4 linked regions of the Neurospora crassa OR74A genome follow. The protein of the gene in region 2 purifies or fractionates together with the protein of the main gene of each other region. This does not show direct contact. Links are inferred from orthologs where the notes say so. Each region holds a gene or a part of one and is shown on either strand. Other genes may lie near its edges.

The links.
Region 1: the proteins of NCU07942 (region 2) and NCU03764 purify together in Saccharomyces cerevisiae (affinity purification with mass spectrometry; 3 studies listed by BioGRID). This does not show direct contact. The link is inferred for Neurospora crassa OR74A from reciprocal best matches to the Saccharomyces cerevisiae genes RRP1 and YTM1.
Region 3: the proteins of NCU07942 (region 2) and NCU06272 purify together in Saccharomyces cerevisiae (affinity purification with mass spectrometry; 3 studies listed by BioGRID). This does not show direct contact. The link is inferred for Neurospora crassa OR74A from reciprocal best matches to the Saccharomyces cerevisiae genes RRP1 and RRP5.
Region 4: the proteins of NCU07942 (region 2) and NCU06843 purify together in Saccharomyces cerevisiae (affinity purification with western blotting; 3 studies listed by BioGRID, with this or other methods). This does not show direct contact. The link is inferred for Neurospora crassa OR74A from reciprocal best matches to the Saccharomyces cerevisiae genes RRP1 and RPL3.

What each region holds. Positions count from the first base shown.
Region 1 is NC_026505.1:2,339,905-2,344,365, reverse strand, and holds NCU03764 (microtubule associated protein), read right to left. Parts: upstream 2,931-4,461; 5' UTR 2,737-2,930; coding exon 1,273-2,736; 3' UTR 1,158-1,272; downstream 1-1,157. Other genes in the region: NCU03765 (3'-5' exonuclease/helicase), read left to right, coding at 1-899; NCU03763 (DNA polymerase delta subunit 2), read left to right, coding at 3,265-3,314, 3,380-3,689, 3,745-4,461. UniProt on the Saccharomyces cerevisiae protein: Component of the NOP7 complex, which is required for maturation of the 25S and 5.8S ribosomal RNAs and formation of the 60S ribosome.
Region 2 is NC_026504.1:1,277,025-1,281,268, forward strand, and holds NCU07942 (hypothetical protein), read right to left. Parts: upstream 2,365-4,244; 5' UTR 2,155-2,364; coding exon 2,109-2,154; intron 1,902-2,108; coding exon 994-1,901; 3' UTR 894-993; downstream 1-893. Other genes in the region: NCU07943 (DUF218 domain-containing protein), read left to right, coding at 1-593. UniProt on the Saccharomyces cerevisiae protein: Required for 27S rRNA processing to 25S and 5.8S.
Region 3 is NC_026503.1:2,149,318-2,153,886, reverse strand, and holds the end of NCU06272 (mito ribosomal protein S16), read right to left. Parts: coding exon 2,028-4,569; intron 1,956-2,027; coding exon 1,392-1,955; 3' UTR 1,054-1,391; downstream 1-1,053.
Region 4 is NC_026502.1:1,783,160-1,788,107, forward strand, and holds NCU06843 (60S ribosomal protein L3), read right to left. Parts: upstream 3,407-4,948; 5' UTR 3,278-3,406; coding exon 3,265-3,277; intron 3,036-3,264; coding exon 2,957-3,035; intron 2,831-2,956; coding exon 2,674-2,830; intron 2,616-2,673; coding exon 2,592-2,615; intron 2,522-2,591; coding exon 1,872-2,521; intron 1,814-1,871; coding exon 1,558-1,813; 3' UTR 1,119-1,557; downstream 1-1,118. Other genes in the region: NCU06844 (hypothetical protein), read right to left, coding at 145-604, 721-723; RCM-1, read right to left, coding at 4,748-4,948. UniProt on the Saccharomyces cerevisiae protein: Component of the ribosome, a large ribonucleoprotein complex responsible for the synthesis of proteins in the cell.

The sequences.
Region 1 (4,461 bases), on a different chromosome or scaffold from region 2:
ACTACCTCTCCACTGTGGGTGACAATATCAACGTCGAAATCGAAGGAGACGGGAGCACGACCCTCAGCGGCGAAGACGCTTTTGTCTCTGCCACCACCAAAACCGGCAAGAATGGCACAAGCAAGAAAACCACCGAACCCTCAACAACATCCACAAAACGCAAACGGACCTCCAAAGAATCCAACGAGTCCAAAGAGTCCAAAGTACCCAAACCAATCGACCCCCTCATCTCCGAAGCCACCCTCTGGGCCCAGAACTACCTCCTCTCCCATATCTCCCGCAAACAAACCTTTGCCCCCAAATCCCCCCTCTCCGTCGCCAACCTGCGCGCCTATTACCTCTGGTCTCGTAATCCGTCGATGAACTGCGAAGCTCTGGCCGCGTTGCTCGGCATCAAGACTAGCACGGCCGCACAATACATTCTGGTGGCTATTCAGAAGGAAAAGGGTAGGCTGTCGTTTGAGCCGAAGCGGATGAAGGAGGAGATTTTTGGGTCTGGGGTGATTTCGGAGGAGACGTTGAAGTTCAGGTGGCAGGGCGTGCAGATGCTGTGTGCGTTGTATGAGGAGGCTGAGGCGCGTGGGGTGAATGGGACGGGGGTGATGGATGGGGAGGGGGTGAAGGGGAAGAGTGAGTTGGAGTTGTTGGATGAGATTTTTGGGCAGGAGCAGGAGCAGGAAGGTGAGGTAGAGGAGGTTGAGGGTGAGGAGGTAGATGAGACACAGGCAGAGGTGGAGGTAAAGCCGAAGGAAGAGAGCGTGGAGGATGTGATGAAGGCTGCGTTGGAGGCTGGGGATTTGGACTTTGATGAGGAGTTGACGCTGGGCAATAGCAGCAGTCAAGCGACGGTTGATGAGGAAGAGGTGGAGAGGTTGAGGAAGATGTCGAGAAGTCACTGAGCCGGCTCTCAAGCTGCTGGTCGAGTGCTGAACAAGAAAGGAAAGATGTCGACGATGCACCTATACCCCGAGACCGACTTGGCTACTTTTAGACGTTGGTAGATGAACCTTGTATAATCCTCAGAACAACCTGACTGGGCTCTGCAGAAGCCATCTAGTCTATGCTCCAGGTCAGTACAGTTTTCGCGTACAGTTTAGTTCAGAAAGAATCTGTCACGGCTGTTCTTGGCCTCGTCCCTGCAGATATCACAAAAATATCCTGTACAGTATTCACATTCCATTTTATCTATCCTGGGTATATCATAACAACCAAGTTCTGCTGCTTCCCTTCTCTTCATCAACAACCCCCTCTTTCCCGACCATTTTTCTTCCTCTACTCGGCATTCACACCCCTCCCCTTATTAATCTGCACCTTCTTATCCTCACCACCGCTGAAGATGCCCAGCTGATCCCACACCACGCTGAACACCTTGCACCCGTCGCCCGTCACACTGCTCTTCTTCTTCTTGCCCTGCTGGCTCTCGCGATCAATAACGTACACGGGCTCGCTGACGCTGCCCATGCCGCCCTCGTCCTTGGTCGCTGGCCGGACCGACCGCAAATCCCAGATCCGGCACGTCCCGTCGTGCGAGCCCGAAACCAGTGAGTACTCGTTCTCCGGGTTCGCCGCCAGACTGACCACCTTGTTGGCATGCCCACGCAGCGTCATGACGCTCGTCGCGGCCGTGCTGGTGCGCGGGTCGACGAGGGTAATGTGTCGGGCGGAGGTGCCGCAGGCGAGAAGGGGCGCCGAGGCCGAGGAGCGCGGCAGGGCAGCGAGAGAGAGGAGCGCATGCGAGGTTGTGAAGGTGCTGACCACGCTGGAGGTGGTCAGGTCGATGGTCTTGACGGTATGGTCCTGCGACACAGAGTAGGCAACGGTGCGGTCGCGGGGGTCGAAGACGGCGGCCGTGGCGGGCGCATTGTGGATGTTCATAAGGGCGAGCGGGCCGCGCTGGGCGGCGGTGACGGAGGTCGCGAGCTTGCGGCGCTTGGATGTGTGGGCGCCGGGAAGGAGCGAGGAATCGGAGACTTCGGGCGCGGACGCCTTGGAGGTGGTCCAGAAACCGATGGAACCGTCGGCGGAGGCAGTGAGGATGCGCTTCGAGGCGCCGTCAACCTCGAGCGAGTCGATCGAGGAGGTGTGGCCGTACAGTTCGAGAGTGGGCTTCAGCTCGCCGCGACGCTCGTACGACTCGCCCGACTCGGTGTACTTCCATACGCGAACTGTGCGGTCCATGCCGGCCGAGGCAATCTGAGTGCTGGAGAGGAATTTGGCAGCTTTTATGCTGGCAGTGTGACCACCGTGGCTGCCCGAGGGCGAGGTGCCAATCACATTTCCAGAGGCGTCCCATATCCTGAGGAGACCGTCGTACGAGGCGGAGAGGATGCGATCTTGGCCGCGCTGAAAGTTGTCGCCGGACCAGCGGCCCGCGGGAGAAGTAGCGGAAAGAACATCGACGGCGCTGACCCAGTCGTCGTGCTCAAAGCTGGCCTCGTATGTTGGTGGGATCAAACTGCGAACGTACTGAAGGGTGATGTTGGTTTCGAGCGAGAGGCCGTTGGCGTTGAGGTACTCTTCAAGACTGCCGCGGAGGAAGCTGCCGTTAACAAGGAAGTCGAAGGGGATCGAGTTGGTGTCGAGCATGGACTCGGAGTTGAGAATACGGGAGAGGCCATAACGGCGGATGTCGGCGGGGACAAGGAGCTGGCGCTTGCTCTCATCGAGCTGGATGTCCTCCTCCTGGGTGGTGAAGGTCACCCGGACCTGGGCGCCTGATTCGGTAGGGTGGTCCATGGCGGTGCCTGTGCTGTGATATTATGTGAATTGGGTAGTCGCTGTTCGGTATGGGCAGGCTGAATACTATCAATTGACAAGTAAAAGTCAGATTGGCTTAGATTACCGTGAAACAGGCGTCGTCGGGAGGAGAGTGTGGATGTTTACTTTGCAGCGGACACCACAAGGCCATGCCAAATCCAAGACTCCATCCAATTTTTTCTGTCCAGCCTTGCAGCGCAGGGGTCTGGAGTGTTCTAGCTACCCCACGTTCCCCTATCTTATCGGAACTTTATAGCGGGGCCGACGGTTCCTGTGAGGGTCACAGTGCTGAAGCGCCGCTACTATGTAAACTATACTAGTATAGAGTAGTACCGGTCATGTACCTGGCTTAATTGAACCCACTGGAGCTACGCGTCTCGAAATTGTCAAGCGCGTCGTCGAGTTTCGTCCCTTGAAGTCAGTTTCCGAGTCGGGCAGCACATGAATAAGTCACCAATTGCTTTTGTCGTTCTCACATCTTGAGCCATTGTCAGTATCAATCATACGATGGTCACCTTGGACGAAGTTCTCGGTAGCGGTTTGCTACAGAAGCCCTCGTGAGTAGCAGTGGATCATCCATCTTCCACTGGCGATCATCAGCTAACAACCCAACTTCACGAAGAGGCGATGCGCCCGAGGCTCTCCAGCGCCAGATCACCAACTACAAGCCCCTTCATACCTTCAAACTCGAAAAAACCCGTCCCTATCAACAACAATATGCCGATATTTACTTTTTGCGTCTTACAAAGATCAGGCCCGCCGTCGAGGCAGCCGCCAGCGCCGCTTGGGAGGGAACAGTGCTTGGTGGTGAGAAGGTCAAGAGGGTCGAGCGTGTCCTAGACGTTCGCCAGGGAGAACTATGCTGGGTAGCTGGAACAGTATATATGGACATGCCTCTAAAGCCCTCAATCCTCGAGGATGTCTCCAAGGATGTGAGTTTCAGCCTATCCTTTGGTGGACACCAGGCAGCTGACAATGATGTTATAGCGCTGGATCTCCGCTCCCACCTCGGTCGGCCACTACTACTCCGGCAACGGCGAAGACTCGGTAATGCTCGAAGACGACTCCGGCCGCATCCGTCTTGTCGGCAACGCTCTGCAAAACCACTTCATGGTGACCGGCTGCATCGTCGCGGTAATGGGCACCGAGAACGCCAACGGCGAATTCGAAGTCATCGACCTCCTCTTCGCCGAACTACCACCACAGCCCGAGCGCTGGTCGCTCTCAAAAGGCAAAAAGGAAGCAGACTCCTCCGAAGACGTCGAAATGATGGACGCCTCTTTCTCCAGGCAGTCCCACAAGCCCTCCTCTAAAAAGATTGCCCTCGTCTCCGGCCTCGAGTTCTCCAACGCCGACACCTCCTACGCCATGGAACTCAACCTGCTTCTCGAGTATCTCCTCGGCGAAGCGCTCGATCCCTCCGTCCAACGCGACGAGCTCTCACACATCACCCGCCTCATCATAGCGGGGAACTCCATCTCCACGACGGCGGCCGAACAGGCCAAACCCGCGGCTGCCTTCGACACCACCACCGTAACAAACAAGTTCCAACCACAAATCAAAAAATACGGCTACGACAGCAGCTCCTACAACCCGGTTCCCTCCCAACTGTTGGACAGCTTTCTGAGTGATCTCCTCCCCACCATGCCCGTCACCCTGCTCCCGGGCGCGCTCGACCCCGCCAACGCGAGTTACCCGCAACAG
Region 2 (4,244 bases):
CCGAGCTCGTACACAAGGCCGTCGCCCTTCACCCGACATTCAAGAGCATAGCTGCCGAGATCTGTGGGCTGCCCGAAGCCCAAGTCCTCCATGCTATCTGGAACTCGTTCTACGCAAGCCAGGTCGACGACCCCAGCGCTGCACCTCGGATCCTTATCGAAGATCGCTCCACGACCTGCGCTACCAACGCGTCGGAAGCGCGCAAGCTGCTCGAAGCAAGCGCGCCGCGCACCATTGTGGTCATTCAAGATCCGACCATGGTTCGACGGACGGTGGCATGCTTCGACCGTGTCTACATGGACATGGCGCAGCCCCCGACAATCCTCGGCTGTCCGATCTTTGTTCCTCGCGTAAAGCGCAGCGGTGGCGGCACTAGCGGGCAGCTGGCATACGAATCACCGCCGGTCAACGAAGCATTGATGTGGAAGATGGACCGTTTCTTGCAGCTGGTCATGGGCGAGATTCCGCGATTGAGAGATGACGAATACGGCTATGGTCCCAAGGGCAATGGCTCCATCGTCCATGTGGATATTCCCGATGAGGTTGAGCAGGCTTATACGCGGCTTGCCGGCAAGATTGCGCATCGTAGATGAGTTTCCGGAAGTGATTCGCCGGGTGTCCGGGACGAGCTCTGTGGAGCCACACATTAGGCTTATTTTGTGAAGATAGACGAAAGAATTAGATACGAGTATAGAGAGTACCTAAAACGCATCTCGTTGACACCAATCAGATACCTTGCATGAAATTTGGTGGAATGGTGTTTCAGTAACAATTAAACCAAGGTTGATGTATATCAGTTACTTTTCAAACTACTACTTATAAACTAGGAGTCTCCTGGGTAACATTGTGATATATTGAAAGTCATGAGGAGGTTCACGATTCAAGACATTGGTCAACAATGCAATGTATTTCAAGGGAACGAAATCAAACAAAGCAACTCTATTACGCCAGCAGCCATGATATCTCAGCAAAAACCATTTTTACAAAACGAAATCAGTTATCAAACCCGCCCCATCCCTCATCTTCCTTCTCCACAGGCTTCTTGTCATTCCCCGGTAGCCTGTCATCCGACAATGAGTCCTTGGACCTCACTCTTATCGCGGGGCTGACCGTGCGCTGCTCCAGCTCCTCGATCTTCTCGATGATCCGCTGCACAATCTTGAGCGCCTCCTCGTCGCTCTCAAAGTCCAGCATGCCAACCTTCTCGGCCTCGTCCACCCAGATATCCAGCACGTGGATCTTGAGTCCCGAGGGTATCTTCTTGGCGAGGAGGTGAAGCGGGTCCTTGTTTTCCTTCTTCTTGGGTTTCTCTTTCCTGAGAGATTCGTGTTGGGGCTTGGCATCTTCGTCGTCCTCGTCGGCTTCGGGTTCTTCTTCTTCTTCGGAATCGCTATCCTCCTTGACGTCCTCGTCCAGCGCAAACGGCCACTCGGCAAGTATGTCGAGAACCTGATCGACTCTTTTGGCGTCCCACGCGCTCTTCTCCTTTCCGCTTCCCTTCTTCCCACCCTTTTTGTTGGATTTGGTAGCAGTAGCAGCACTGACATCCGCTTTCCCATCCTGCGCGCCCTTCATCCACCTAAAGGAAGCACCCACCACCCGTCTGACCAGCAACAAGAACTTTTCCATGCGCAGCACGTCGATCGACGTCCACTCGCGCGACATGGTCGCCCAGAAACCCCTGAGCCAGGGGACGACGGACTCCCGAGGGAGGATGTAGATGAGATCGGCGAGCTCCTGGGCAAGGGTCTGCTGGGGGATGGCGCGGTCGCACATCCACATGGCGTAGAAGAGACCCTTCCACAGCTTGAGAATGTCGATGGGCGAGAGCGTGGTGGCAATGTGCTTGGCAGAGAGGAAGGTGTGCAGGGAAGCGAGGGCTGACTTGCGGATTTTGCTGTCTATCGAAAAGGGAGAAAATGTCAGTGATGGAGGGCTTATCGAATGGGGAATTGGGTATACATTTTGAGTTTAGATAGAACGTGATTGGATGTAGAAGTGGTAGTATTGTCAAGAGATACAAGGTAGGCAAGTATCCCAAGTGGTGATGTAGCTTGTACTTCGATCACATGGCAGTGTATGTACTGGAAAGTGGGATGCAAACGTACCGCTCGAGGCGAGGTTCTTAATGAACGGCATATTTTGCGACGCCATCTTGACTGGTTTTTTTTTGGTGGTGTTTCCACTCAACTCGATTGTTTCGACTGTTTCGTTGTGTTGTAGTAGGGCCAAAACGCAAATTGGGTATACGCTGTGTAAAAAGACGAAGTACTGGGATCGGTTTCCTAGAGGCGACGAGATGCTGCTGCAGGCTGGGCTGGAGATGATGGTGGATGGAGTTCAAGCCGATTGAAACGAAATCTTGTCCGCCCGGCAGAAAAAACTGGTGGACCAAGCTTCCGAGAGTTGACAATTGGAGATAAGCAGCTGATAAGACTTTGCGGCAGGCATTTGGCTTGTCCAGCTATCGCCAAGATGCGGGGAGGTATGCGCTCGCTATGTGATTGGTGCATGCTAGTGACTGTGGATTCGGCTATGATCGGCAGGAACCCGACAGCAGTCGAATTCCATCCCGGCCGCACCCGTTCCCCAGCAACCTCTGCGGTGGTCACAGGTGACAGCTGAGTCGATGCCAGCAGCGTGAGGGCATGGCATTCAGTCACCAGCGACATCGTCGGCAGGGCGGAAGGTGCATCACGAAATTTCGATGGTCCCCGTCAATGTAGAATCCGGCTCCATCCATTCTCCTCCGTCCCGCTTCCCCGCCTTGCCCGCCCGTCCGCATTCCGCTATCGATTCGGGATCTCCTTCTTCCCGCTTGCTGTTTCCCCTGATCCCCATACTCTCCCCTAACTTGGTATCCATGCCACTCTGTCCGGACTTCTTCTGGAATCCTGCTTCTTTTGTCCACCAGGCATCGGGCCTAACGACATCCTCACCGCATCAACTGTCATGTGGCCTAGAGACTGTGATTTCATTGAAGGATTTACTTTGAAAAACTGGCGGTCTTGCTAGTCACTTTGATACGCTCAAACTTTCATTTTTTTTCTCAGCCCTGCAAATGGTCATGTGGACTTTGTGTTATCTTTTTCTAGTGTAGTGTCTAGTGTAGTGTAGATAACGTATACCAGCGGGCCGTCAAGCCTATCAGGTTCACATGAAGTCCGACAGCCATCCAGACCCAAAAGCACAGTAGTGTATCTTCTATGGGGAGGTTAGCACCAAAGGGGAAGCTCAGGTCGCGCCTGGCCAGACAGCAAGTGAAAATCCTCGGACTTTCTTTGCTTCAGTTAGGGGAAGCAGAAGGGGAACTGAGGACCAACCAGTGTCGTACTCCGACCACAGAGGGAGGAAGAAGCTGTCAGGGCTGTGAACCGTTGACCAATGCAACAAAAACAGGATCCAGTGACAGTCAGGGGTAGATCTACACGCCCTAACCCCGCGGCGACCATTGGGCCTTTACCCCGGATTGCGGTCTGTCTGGGGCGGGGAAGAGAGGAAAGCTTGAACAGAGACATGTGACAAAAAGGAAGGAAGCGCGGGGACATCTACAACATGTACCATCTTATTGGAGCGCTTACGCAGGTGAAAATGCGCCTTGAACATGCCACCTCATCTGAGTCGTATCTAAACGATAAAATAAACCCTCCCAAGCATGTAATCGCTGGATGTGTTCGACCTATCTAACGATTTGGCGTCCCTTGTAGTTTTGACTATCGGTGTTGATACGGACACACTAAATGGTTATCTTGACGATACCTACCTTGAGGTATAGTACTTTATCTGATACGAGATTGTCGTCTTGTGATTGGAATCGGAACTTTTAGGGGAAACGTCCAAAACCCGGGCTTTGGACGATATCAGCTTGGTTAGTGGAGCGGTTATCACTTCGGATCCTAATACAGGAATTTCCTACAGCTTCCGACAACCCTGGTTTGCTTCCAGGATCGATTTCTTTTCGGACATTCTGACCGTCGTGAATTGCTTCATTGTTTTTCTCTGGTCCACAGCCAGATCAAGGTAACAGGCGATTGTCCGGTCCCAAAATAGCCGATTCCCGTCGGGAGAAGCCCGCTCCAGCAAGCAGCTCCACAGGTCTCTCACACGTGCCAAGCACAGCCTGTAAAATCGCAAAAGCTGGTCTCCACGGGCAGTGGGACGGGACGCCGCCCATGTCCCCGCCATGCTGCAAGTGCTGCAAGTGCTGCAAGCTCTTTTGTGCAGTGAAGGCCTTCCGCATTCGG
Region 3 (4,569 bases), on a different chromosome or scaffold from region 2:
TTTGATGTTCTGCAATGAATTGCTTGGTTGGTTGGAGATATTCTTGCGCACACTTGCACGACAGCGGGAGGATTGGATGTGCCAACTGCCAGATTAGGTTACGATCTTCGGCTATCATTCAGTTACAAAAAAAGCGCTTCAATCGCACACCTCACCTCACCTCTCCTATGCTTACGATACATCCATCCATCCATCTAGCTGCTCTGTCTCTCTCTCCAGCCAAAGGAGTCATAGTCATTCAGTTAGTCAGAAAACAAGTCCATGAAATCGAATTGTACTCTGCATTGGTTGTTTATCACATGCCGTTATCGAATGAATCAGGGTGAAGTGGAGAATGAATGGAACGAACGGATTCAAAGAAATGAAAAAAATGAAGAAAGGAAGGAAGGAACCTGCTCCATGCAAGTAGTGTGTGTACCACCTGCCTTACCTCTACCTACCTAGTGTACTACCACCAGTGGCACAAATATGATGTACCTGAAAGCCCATCATTCCGATGGTCTGGTTTCTGGGCGGGCGGGCGGGGGACACTGAATGGTGTTACTGTTACGGTTACCGTTATGTACAACGAAACGGCGAGAAGGAAGGAAAGGATTACGAATAGAGGCGGCTGCGCTGTACCGCTACGAGAATAAATGACATTGGTTGATTGGTAGGTAAGTAAGTAGGAAGTACTTGTGCTCGCAACCCAACGACGTGGAAGCAGGAAGAGAGAAAAGATAATACTGTAGGCACTAAGTATCTAGGTAGAATAGTGAGGACAGTCATCGAAAAAAAAAAAAAGGTTTCGTTTCTGAGAGGTCACTACAACAGTGGAAGCAATGTACCTACCTGGGTTACCTTGCTTTTAACAAACAGTTCTCTGCCCGATTGGAATATGCAGGGTGAACTGATTGATGGATATCTCGCGCCTTGAAATGTTGTGGTTGAAAAAAAAAAAAAAAAAAAAAAAAAAAAAAAAAAAGACAAAACATGAGCAGCGTGGAGAGAAAGAGAGGGAGTGCAATATCTACTTCTTACACAAGTCATCACCATCCGACACGTCAATGGGGATGAACGGCATATCGAGTTCTATTACCTAGATCGTTTTGAATCCAATCACACAGCCGTGCACATTCAACCCCGGTGTAAAAAAGCAGTGAAGACCAAAAATATATGAAATATTCAAACATCAGGCTTTTTGAAAACAAAAGGAAACCGAACCCTATATACAAATGTTACTACAAAGGCGCCTGGGCATGCTCTCCTTTTTTCTTGCCTCTCTATAAAACGTGGACGGGCGGCTGGGGTGGCGGCAGAATCCCAACCCGTCTTCTTCTGCTTCCCAGTAGGTATAACAGCTTATTTCGAACCAAATAACCAACCGTAAGAGGGATATCATCTCATCACATCTACTCCTCATCTCCACTCTCCTCCTCCTGGGCCGCAGAAGCAGCAGCAGTCTTCTTCTTCTCAGCCGCCGTTCTCGCCCACTCCTGTGCCTTGGCGCTGACTCTCTCCCTGCTCTTCTTATCACCGTTCTTCTCCTCCCACTGGGCCCACCTCCTGAACCAAGCCTTGGCCTGGCGGGGCTTGAGGCCCTTGACCTTGCTACCGCGATCAAACAGGTCGCGGATAACGCCCTTGTCGGCGTCGGCCGCCGAGGTCTCGAGGTCGATGAGCTGGTTCCACAGGTCGAACTTCTTGGGGTAGGTGGCCAGCAGGTTCTCGAAGAGGGTGCGGCCCTGCTCCTTGTCGCCGTTGGGCGAGCGGAACTCGAGCGCGGCGAACTTGGGCAGAAGGGCGAGGTACATGTGCGTCTCCTTGCCGAGCACCTGGGTGGCGCGCTTGAGGAGGGCGCGGGCGCGGTCGGGCGAGTGCGCGGTGGTGTGCAGGAAGTGAGCGTAGTTGACCCAGACTTCGGGGGATTTGTAACCGAACTCCTTGACGATCTTCTCGAAGAGGTCATCGGCTTGCTGTTGTAGGGGAATTATGTTAGTAATTCTGTAACCACATGGATTTTTTTTTCAGGGGGGGTGGGTGCTTACCTTGCGCTTGCCAGATTGGATGTAGATACTGGCCAGACGCTCATGGACCTCCTGCTTGTCGTTGTATGTGCAAGCCCGCTTGAACACCTCGTCGACTGTCTCCTCATTGCCATAAGCAACCTCCAAGTTGAGATAGGCAATCCAGACGTTCAGCTTCTCGATCTCCTCCTTGATGTTGATCGTTTTGATGGCACGCTCAGCCACTTGTCTGGCAGCGGCCAGATCGCTCACCTGCATTTGGAAGGCCATGTAGGCGATCCAGAGCTGGGAGGAGTTAGGCTGACCAAGAAGTAGACGCTCGTAGTCGCTGGCGGTTTGAGGTCCATCAACATCGAGCGAGGCAGTCTTATCGACCGTAACCTGAGGCTCGCGGCGAGCCTTCTTCTTCTTGGCCAAGGCCTCAAGATCCGCCGCAGAGGCATTGGCCTTCTCGCCATCCTCCAGAGAAGCAGACCAGTCGAAGCCACCGGCCTCAAGACCCTTGACATCAGCGTCAACCATCTCGACATCGCTAGCCTCATCCTCATCTTCGGACTCGTCCTCGACGTTGTCGGTACCAGTAATCTGGACGGCGTCGTCGGCGTCGCTCATATCCTCATCAGAGTCATCGCCCTCACTGTCCTCGGCATCCTCCTCGTCAACGTCCATCTCATCCTCATCATCCTGCTCGCCAAAGTAGGATGGCTTCAAGCCAAGGTTGATTCTCTTGGCAGTTATGTCCACCTTCAGGACCTTGGCCTTGACCTTGTCACCTTCCTCATACAGCTTACGAGCATCCTTGACGGTCTTGTCAGACATCTCGCTACGATGGCACAGGCCAGAGAGGTTGGCGGAGCCATCGATGTCGATGAAGGCACCAAACTCCTCGACCTTGCGGACGCGACCAGTAATGGTCTGGCCTTCCTTTAGGTCGGAGATGGTGGTGAGAGGAACGTAGTCCTTGTCGACAACAGAAGGCTTCAAGCTCATCTCGATACGGCCGTTGGCAACAGAGATGATGCGCCCCTTGACGAGCTGATCAACCTGAAACTGCTCCTTCCAGTACTTGAGATAAGCATCGGAAAGATTCTTGATCTGGACGAAGGCGGTGACAGTGCCACCGAGAGTGACGAAGAGACCCTTGTCAGAGACGTTCTTGACGAAACCACGGACAATTTCGCCAACTTCGAGCTTGGTGTTCTGAGTGATCTCCTTATCCTTGACCGGAAGCGAAGAGTTGAGGATGCGAGAAGGTCTGGTAGACAGACGTATCCTCTTGTTGCTCTTGTCAACTTCAACGACAGCAACACGGACGATCTCGTTCTTAGCGAACTTGGCAGGGTTGGCCTCTTCGTAGTCATCGACAAGATCAACCTTATGAACGGGTCCAGCCAGGCTCTCGCTAAGCTTGACAATGACCTGGCGTTCGTCAACCTTGGTAATCTTGCCGACAAGGATGACATCCTGTGCGATCTTGTCCCAAGTCAACTCGTCCTCGGAACCAGGAGATCTGGCAGAGAGATCGAGGCGCTTGGATTCGGCATCCACAGAGACGACGCGGACGCGGAGGGCCGAGCCAATAGGGAAGTTCTTCGCAAGGTTGGTCAATAAAGAGACATCGTCAGAGGCCTCCATCGCATTAACTCTGCCGCGAACAGTGGGGGAAAGGTTGACCCAAAGGTGGCCTTGGCCAACATTGTTGACGAAGCCCACGTAGCTAGAACCAACCTTGAGGTTGTCGAAAGACAGCGGCTCGGAAGAGGCGCCCTCCTTGACATCGCTGGGCTTCGCGGACAGTTCGAGGACGGAGTGGCTGGATCGGTGGGAAATGGGCAGGAAGCGGTGGTTGCGAGCGTCATGGACGCCCAGCACGCGGACAGGGACGACCTGATTGGGCTGGAATCTCTTCAACGGCTTCTTGGTATCCTTGATCTGCTCCCAGCTGTCGTACACCTGAGAAACATCAATACGACCCTGAATGTTATCAGCGAGCTGAACGTTGAGCTGGGTGTCCTTAACGGACACAATGCGAGCCTTGGTCAGCTTGCCAATGGAAATATCATCCAAAGTGGTAATGGATTCATCCACGGGGTTAGCGACCTTCTCGCCCTTGGTCTCGACCTTCTTAACCTGCTCCGCAGCACCGGGGATAGCAACAACCAGGCGATTAAGCTCGGTGTTAACCGAAGTGATCTTGACAGTAACAGACTGAGACTTGAACATGCCAAAGTCGGGTTTGTCCTGATCCTCGCGAGGAATCATAGACTTGGGAAGCAAGGCGGTCAACTTGCCACCGAACTGGACGAAGACAGCCGTAGCAGTGATGTTGCGAATATAACCAGAAACCTCATCTCCGACGCGAGCACCATCAAGGGTAGTAAGGAACTTGCCTTCCTTGCTAGCCTTGACAAGGCTGGGCTTCTGGGAGAGAATGATGGAACGGCGAGCCTCGTTCTTTTCCAAGATCACCAACTCGGCAAGAGTCTGGTTGACGTGAATTTTCTTGAGGGCAGACTGAGTCTTGCTGACCGACTTGTCCGTCAAGTGAGCGACGGGGAGGATG
Region 4 (4,948 bases), on a different chromosome or scaffold from region 2:
TTCTGCTCCTGTTCCTGTTGCTGCCCTCCCTTCTCTTCCATCTTCCCCCCGCCGCCCCAAAAAAAAGAAAAAGGAACGAAATCTTTCCCCCTCCGTCCCACCCACCATCAAACTCACGACAGAAAAAAAAAGAGAGAAACTTACCCTCATCCGGAAGCATCTCCTCCCCAAACTTCAACGCGACCCCCTCAAACGGCTCATCCGCATCGCTCACATAGAACTTATCCCCCTTTTCCAACAACTTGGCAATCGGAGACGGGAGGGGAACCCCCTCGTCGCGCGTCTTGAATGTATTGCTGCCGACTTTTTGCGTTGCCGGGTCGGGGCGGTCGCGCGGGTACCCGAGCGAAGGGTCCTCGTTGGCCTTGTTGAGGAAGGCCATGTAGGAATCGTCCGAGGCCATTTTCGATGTGGTGGTGGTGGTAGACGACAGCTTCGCGGTCGAGGTGATGATGTGCGGTGTACGAGGCGTATGAAGCGTAGTACCTGCGGAAAGGGACGTAGTGATGCGCAAGAGCGGGAGAGTGAGAAATCGTTGCGCTGCTGGTCGTTGCAAATGGAGAAGCGTAGAAGTTGTTCGAGAGAGAGGCAATCCAGCGGGTGTCTGGTGTTCGAGAAAGAGCCGGGTAATTAGCTTTGCGGATTGTCGACAAAGAGTTTGTGTTGAGGATGGAAGAAGCAACTAGAACAGATCTGGGTCAGGGTTAGGGAAGTTCAAACCATTATGTTGTTGTGTTTAGGTTGAGAACGTTTCGTTGGGCGGGACGACGATGACAATGATCAGTCAGGTGGGTGGGCTGCGTGGTGGGATGCGAACGAACGTCCGATGATGTAACCTGCAGTAGCTGAAACCAATTAGGAATGGCGGATCTCACGTTGGCCTAAGAGTGGAAGCGTCAACCAATCAGGAGATGGGCTGCTTGCAAGGTCGATCGGGGTTTGATATGCCCTCAACAAGTAACAACAGCCATGTACGCCGTGAGGACTCCCAAAAGCACGACTAGGAATATGAGAAGATGGTCGAAAAGTGATATCATTATCAGTCGTGGTATCGCAGATGAACAATATCAGGAAGAGAAAGCATAGAGACGGGTAGTGAATGACAGGTGGAAGCTCATGAACAGTTGATAAATCGAACACGTCCAGCGCAGCAGAACAGGCAACGAGAATCACACGACATGCTACATTCAAGACTATCAAATTGGGTATATCTATATGCCACTGGTCCCTTCAAGTCATTACCCTACACTAGTGGGGGCATAGCAGCCCAAGACAAAAGTCCTGGAATAAAACATACGAAGTTATAAACAACAGTGTCCATCGAATCTGTGCCAACCACCAGATTCTTCACGTGTTCACATCACATAAAACACATTTTGCTGAAGGACACTCTCTTTGGCAGTACACTGGATCAACGTTTCATTGTTCTTCAACAGCTTTTTATTAAGCCGTAAATGCTAGGTATAGTCCCATTTCCCGACCGACCCGAAAGAGCAACGAAAAAACCGTGACACCAATGCAACCCGACTAACAAGGAGATCAACTGCAGCAGCCAATTTACGAGCTGGCAGCGAGGTCCTTCTTGAGGGTACCCTGGAACTGCTTCTTCTCGGCAGGGGTCTGGAAAGCACCATGACCGAACTCCGAGGAGGTGTCGATCCACTTGAGCTCGACCTTCTCGAGGGCCTTGCGGGAGGTGTGGACGAACATGGACTTGCGGAGAGTCATGACTCTCTTCTTGACACCGGGAACGGAGCCCTTGACCATGACGAAGTCGTTGTTGATCTCGCCATAGCGGACGAAGCCACCCATGCTGGAACAGGGTTAGTTTTGCGCTCTTCAACTTCTTCAAGACAGACGGGGATACATACGGGGTGATCTTCTTCTTGGTGACATCGACCTCGGTGGCAGCAGAGTCCTCAGCATCGCCCTTGCCAATGCGGTAGATCTTGTGGTTGACCGAGGTACGGTGGTGGTAACCGGCCTGACCAGCGCGAGCAACAGTCCACTGGACGTGGGAAGGATGCCAGGCACCGATACAGGCGACCTTGCGGAGACCCTTGTGGGTCTTGCGAGGAAGCTTCTTGGTGCCCCAACGAGCGGTGACACCGGTGAAACCGTGACCCTTGGTAACGGCAATGACGTCGATAACCTCGTCCTTCTCGAAGATGGAGTCGATCGAGACGGGCTTCTCGAAGAGGCCGTGGCCGAACTCGACCTTGTCGGCGACGGAGCCACCGTTGATCTGGATCTCCATAAGGTGGGCCTTCTTCTGCTTGAGGGGAGTCTTGCGGATCTGGGTGTGGGCAAGAACACGGACGACAGTGCAGTACTTCTTGATGCGCTCGAGCTCGCGGGTGATGGCGGCACCGTTGTTGTCGGAGTGCTTCTTGACGTACTTGGTGAAGGCCTTCTTCTTGGACTTGTACCAGTTCTTGTAGAAGCGGCGCTTGACCTCGTCGGACAAGTGCTCAGCCCAGACGGTGGTGAGGGAGCGGAGACCGCGGGGAGTCTCGATGTACTAATATCGGGGTTAGATCACACGGTCGCGGTAGGCCATATACGGCAGCTGGACAGGATCAAAGACTTACGCCGACCAGACCCACAACGATCATCTGCGAGAGATGTTAGCCATTGACACAAAAAGAGCCAAGCGGGCTGCGTTGTACGTACAGGAGGGGTATCAATGATGGTCACAGCCTCAACGACCTCCTTCTTGTGAGCCTTGGCGCCGGGGCGGTCGAGGTCGCGGACGATGGTGGTCATGCCGGCCTTGTAGCCCATGGCGGCGGTAAGGTGGACGGGCTTCTTGGCATCATCCTTAGGGAACCTGTCATGAACGCGCAACTGGTCAGCCTCTCTGTTCGCATGCCCTATTGCCCAAGTTCCGATCGCGAAAGATCCAAACTACTAGCGATAGTGTTGTCGATGGTACCAGAAGATAAGCTTGACTTACGACTTGACCTTTCCCCTGTGGCGGGCCGCGCGCTTGCGGGGAAGGTAGGCCAGCGAACCGTGGCGGGGAGCCTCGTACTCTGAAGCATCGAGTCAGCATGAAGGACGTTCAGGTTGCCATGAGGTCCAAGTCGTGATCACGCATGCTCCCCAAAATCCAGTCGCCAAAAAGTCGAAAATTTCGATATCGCGACGACCGTCTCTCGGGAAAGCTGCTCCATCGATTCTCTCGAAGTCGGGATTGCGTGTAGAAATCGACAAAGACCGTATGTCTGGCGGCGACAGCGACGGCGATGAGGCGTTACTTACTACGGTGAGACATGACTGCTGATGATCCCAAGTACCCGGGTTGTTGATGGTCGAGTGGGAAAAAGTTCACTACCGCGAAAACAAAATCAAGAAGTATCGCCAGAGAAATTGGACCAGCCAAATTTTTGTGTGAGTGGTGTGGATTGGACCGTGCACGGGCCTCAAGTGCAGCGGAGCCCTAACTTTTGCGCGAGCCCTTTCCGGCGGGCATGTCCGCCTTCCTGTTCCTCGAGCCCGCCCAGCCAACCAGCGATGACCAGCCAAGCCCAGAACAATCCACCCCACAAGAGCGACCCCGTACACTTAGTCAGCTTGGCGGGCCATTCACTAATGGCACATTGATGACAAGGTAAAGTCCTGTTGAGGTGGCAGAAAACGTGACTTTGATTGCTCTGCGTATAAGTCCGTCATCGTCGCCGCTGCCGCCGTAGGTACGTTCGCAGATGGAATACGAGATATGGGATTTTTTCGGCGCCTGCGCGTGGCAACGGCTCTGTTTGGTCTGGTCGGTTACAATATGTTGAGCTCCAATCTTCGTTGTTCCCCCCCTTGACTCCATCTTGATCACACGGCTGATTCTCCGAATTCGATGTCCGCGCCCACGGTGTCAAAGAGAGCAAGCTGTTGTGGCTTTCAATAGCCTAGGTTGGGCTGTTTGGATCAAAGCGAGATCTCCATCTATTGGGGTTGTCAGCTGCCTGTCAGAAGCATGACGACATTGTCAAATGCCCCATCTGCTTCTTGACTCAATACCTCTAGCTTGTCGAGCTCGTGGACAAGGGCATTATAACAGTCGTAGATGTAAAACAAGTGGGTTGGCTTAACATGATTACATGATTAGGCGGACATGCATGGTCAAAGGCGTACTGGTTACAAGGGATAACCACGAAAGCACTACACTTAGCTGTCATCTCCTTGACTTTTCGGGCTGAGGCGCCGTTCAGCCATTTCAATAACACCGTATCCCGTGCGGGAATGATCACGACGTTGCAATTACGATCCCAAGAGTGTAACGACAATCGTAATCATGTTCTCTAACTGGCCTCTATGGCAAAGCAGCGAGTTCATTTCCGCCTCTTGAGGATATTCCCATTCCCTTCTCGCTGTCGACTTTCCAACAGATGACATGCACACGCTTCTATTCCAAACACAAGTCATAATAATGTATGTACATCGGAATCCGCTCCTTCCTCTCCCTCCTCATCTCCTACCGGTCAGTCAAAACGTGGTAAAATAGTGCATTTCGCACCCATGAGATCTTGAGCTTCACAGGTCCTTCTGTCTCCATCATCCATGTGTGTGAAATGATGACCACTCTTTCAAACCACATAAAACGAACAAGTCGACGTACATTCCCATCCATAAGCAAAACCATTATGACATCGACAGGATCTTGGGTTCTCCTACCTCTGCCGTATTATAAGCAGATACACTGGGTCTTGTCTCTCGCGCAGAAGCTCGAGGTACACGGCAGATGATGTAATCAGTTGCTTTCTGACTTTTGTCCCATGATGCCGTTGAAGCTACCGCTCGTTGAGGCTCCGTTCTTGGACTCGTTTGCTGCAGGGCCGGATCCGGAGGAAGGACCGGGAATAATTCCGCCCTTCTTGTCCTCCTCTCCGCTATCGTCATAGTCCTCGTCAACGTCCATTTTACGGGCCGCACGCTCAGGCTCATTGACGAT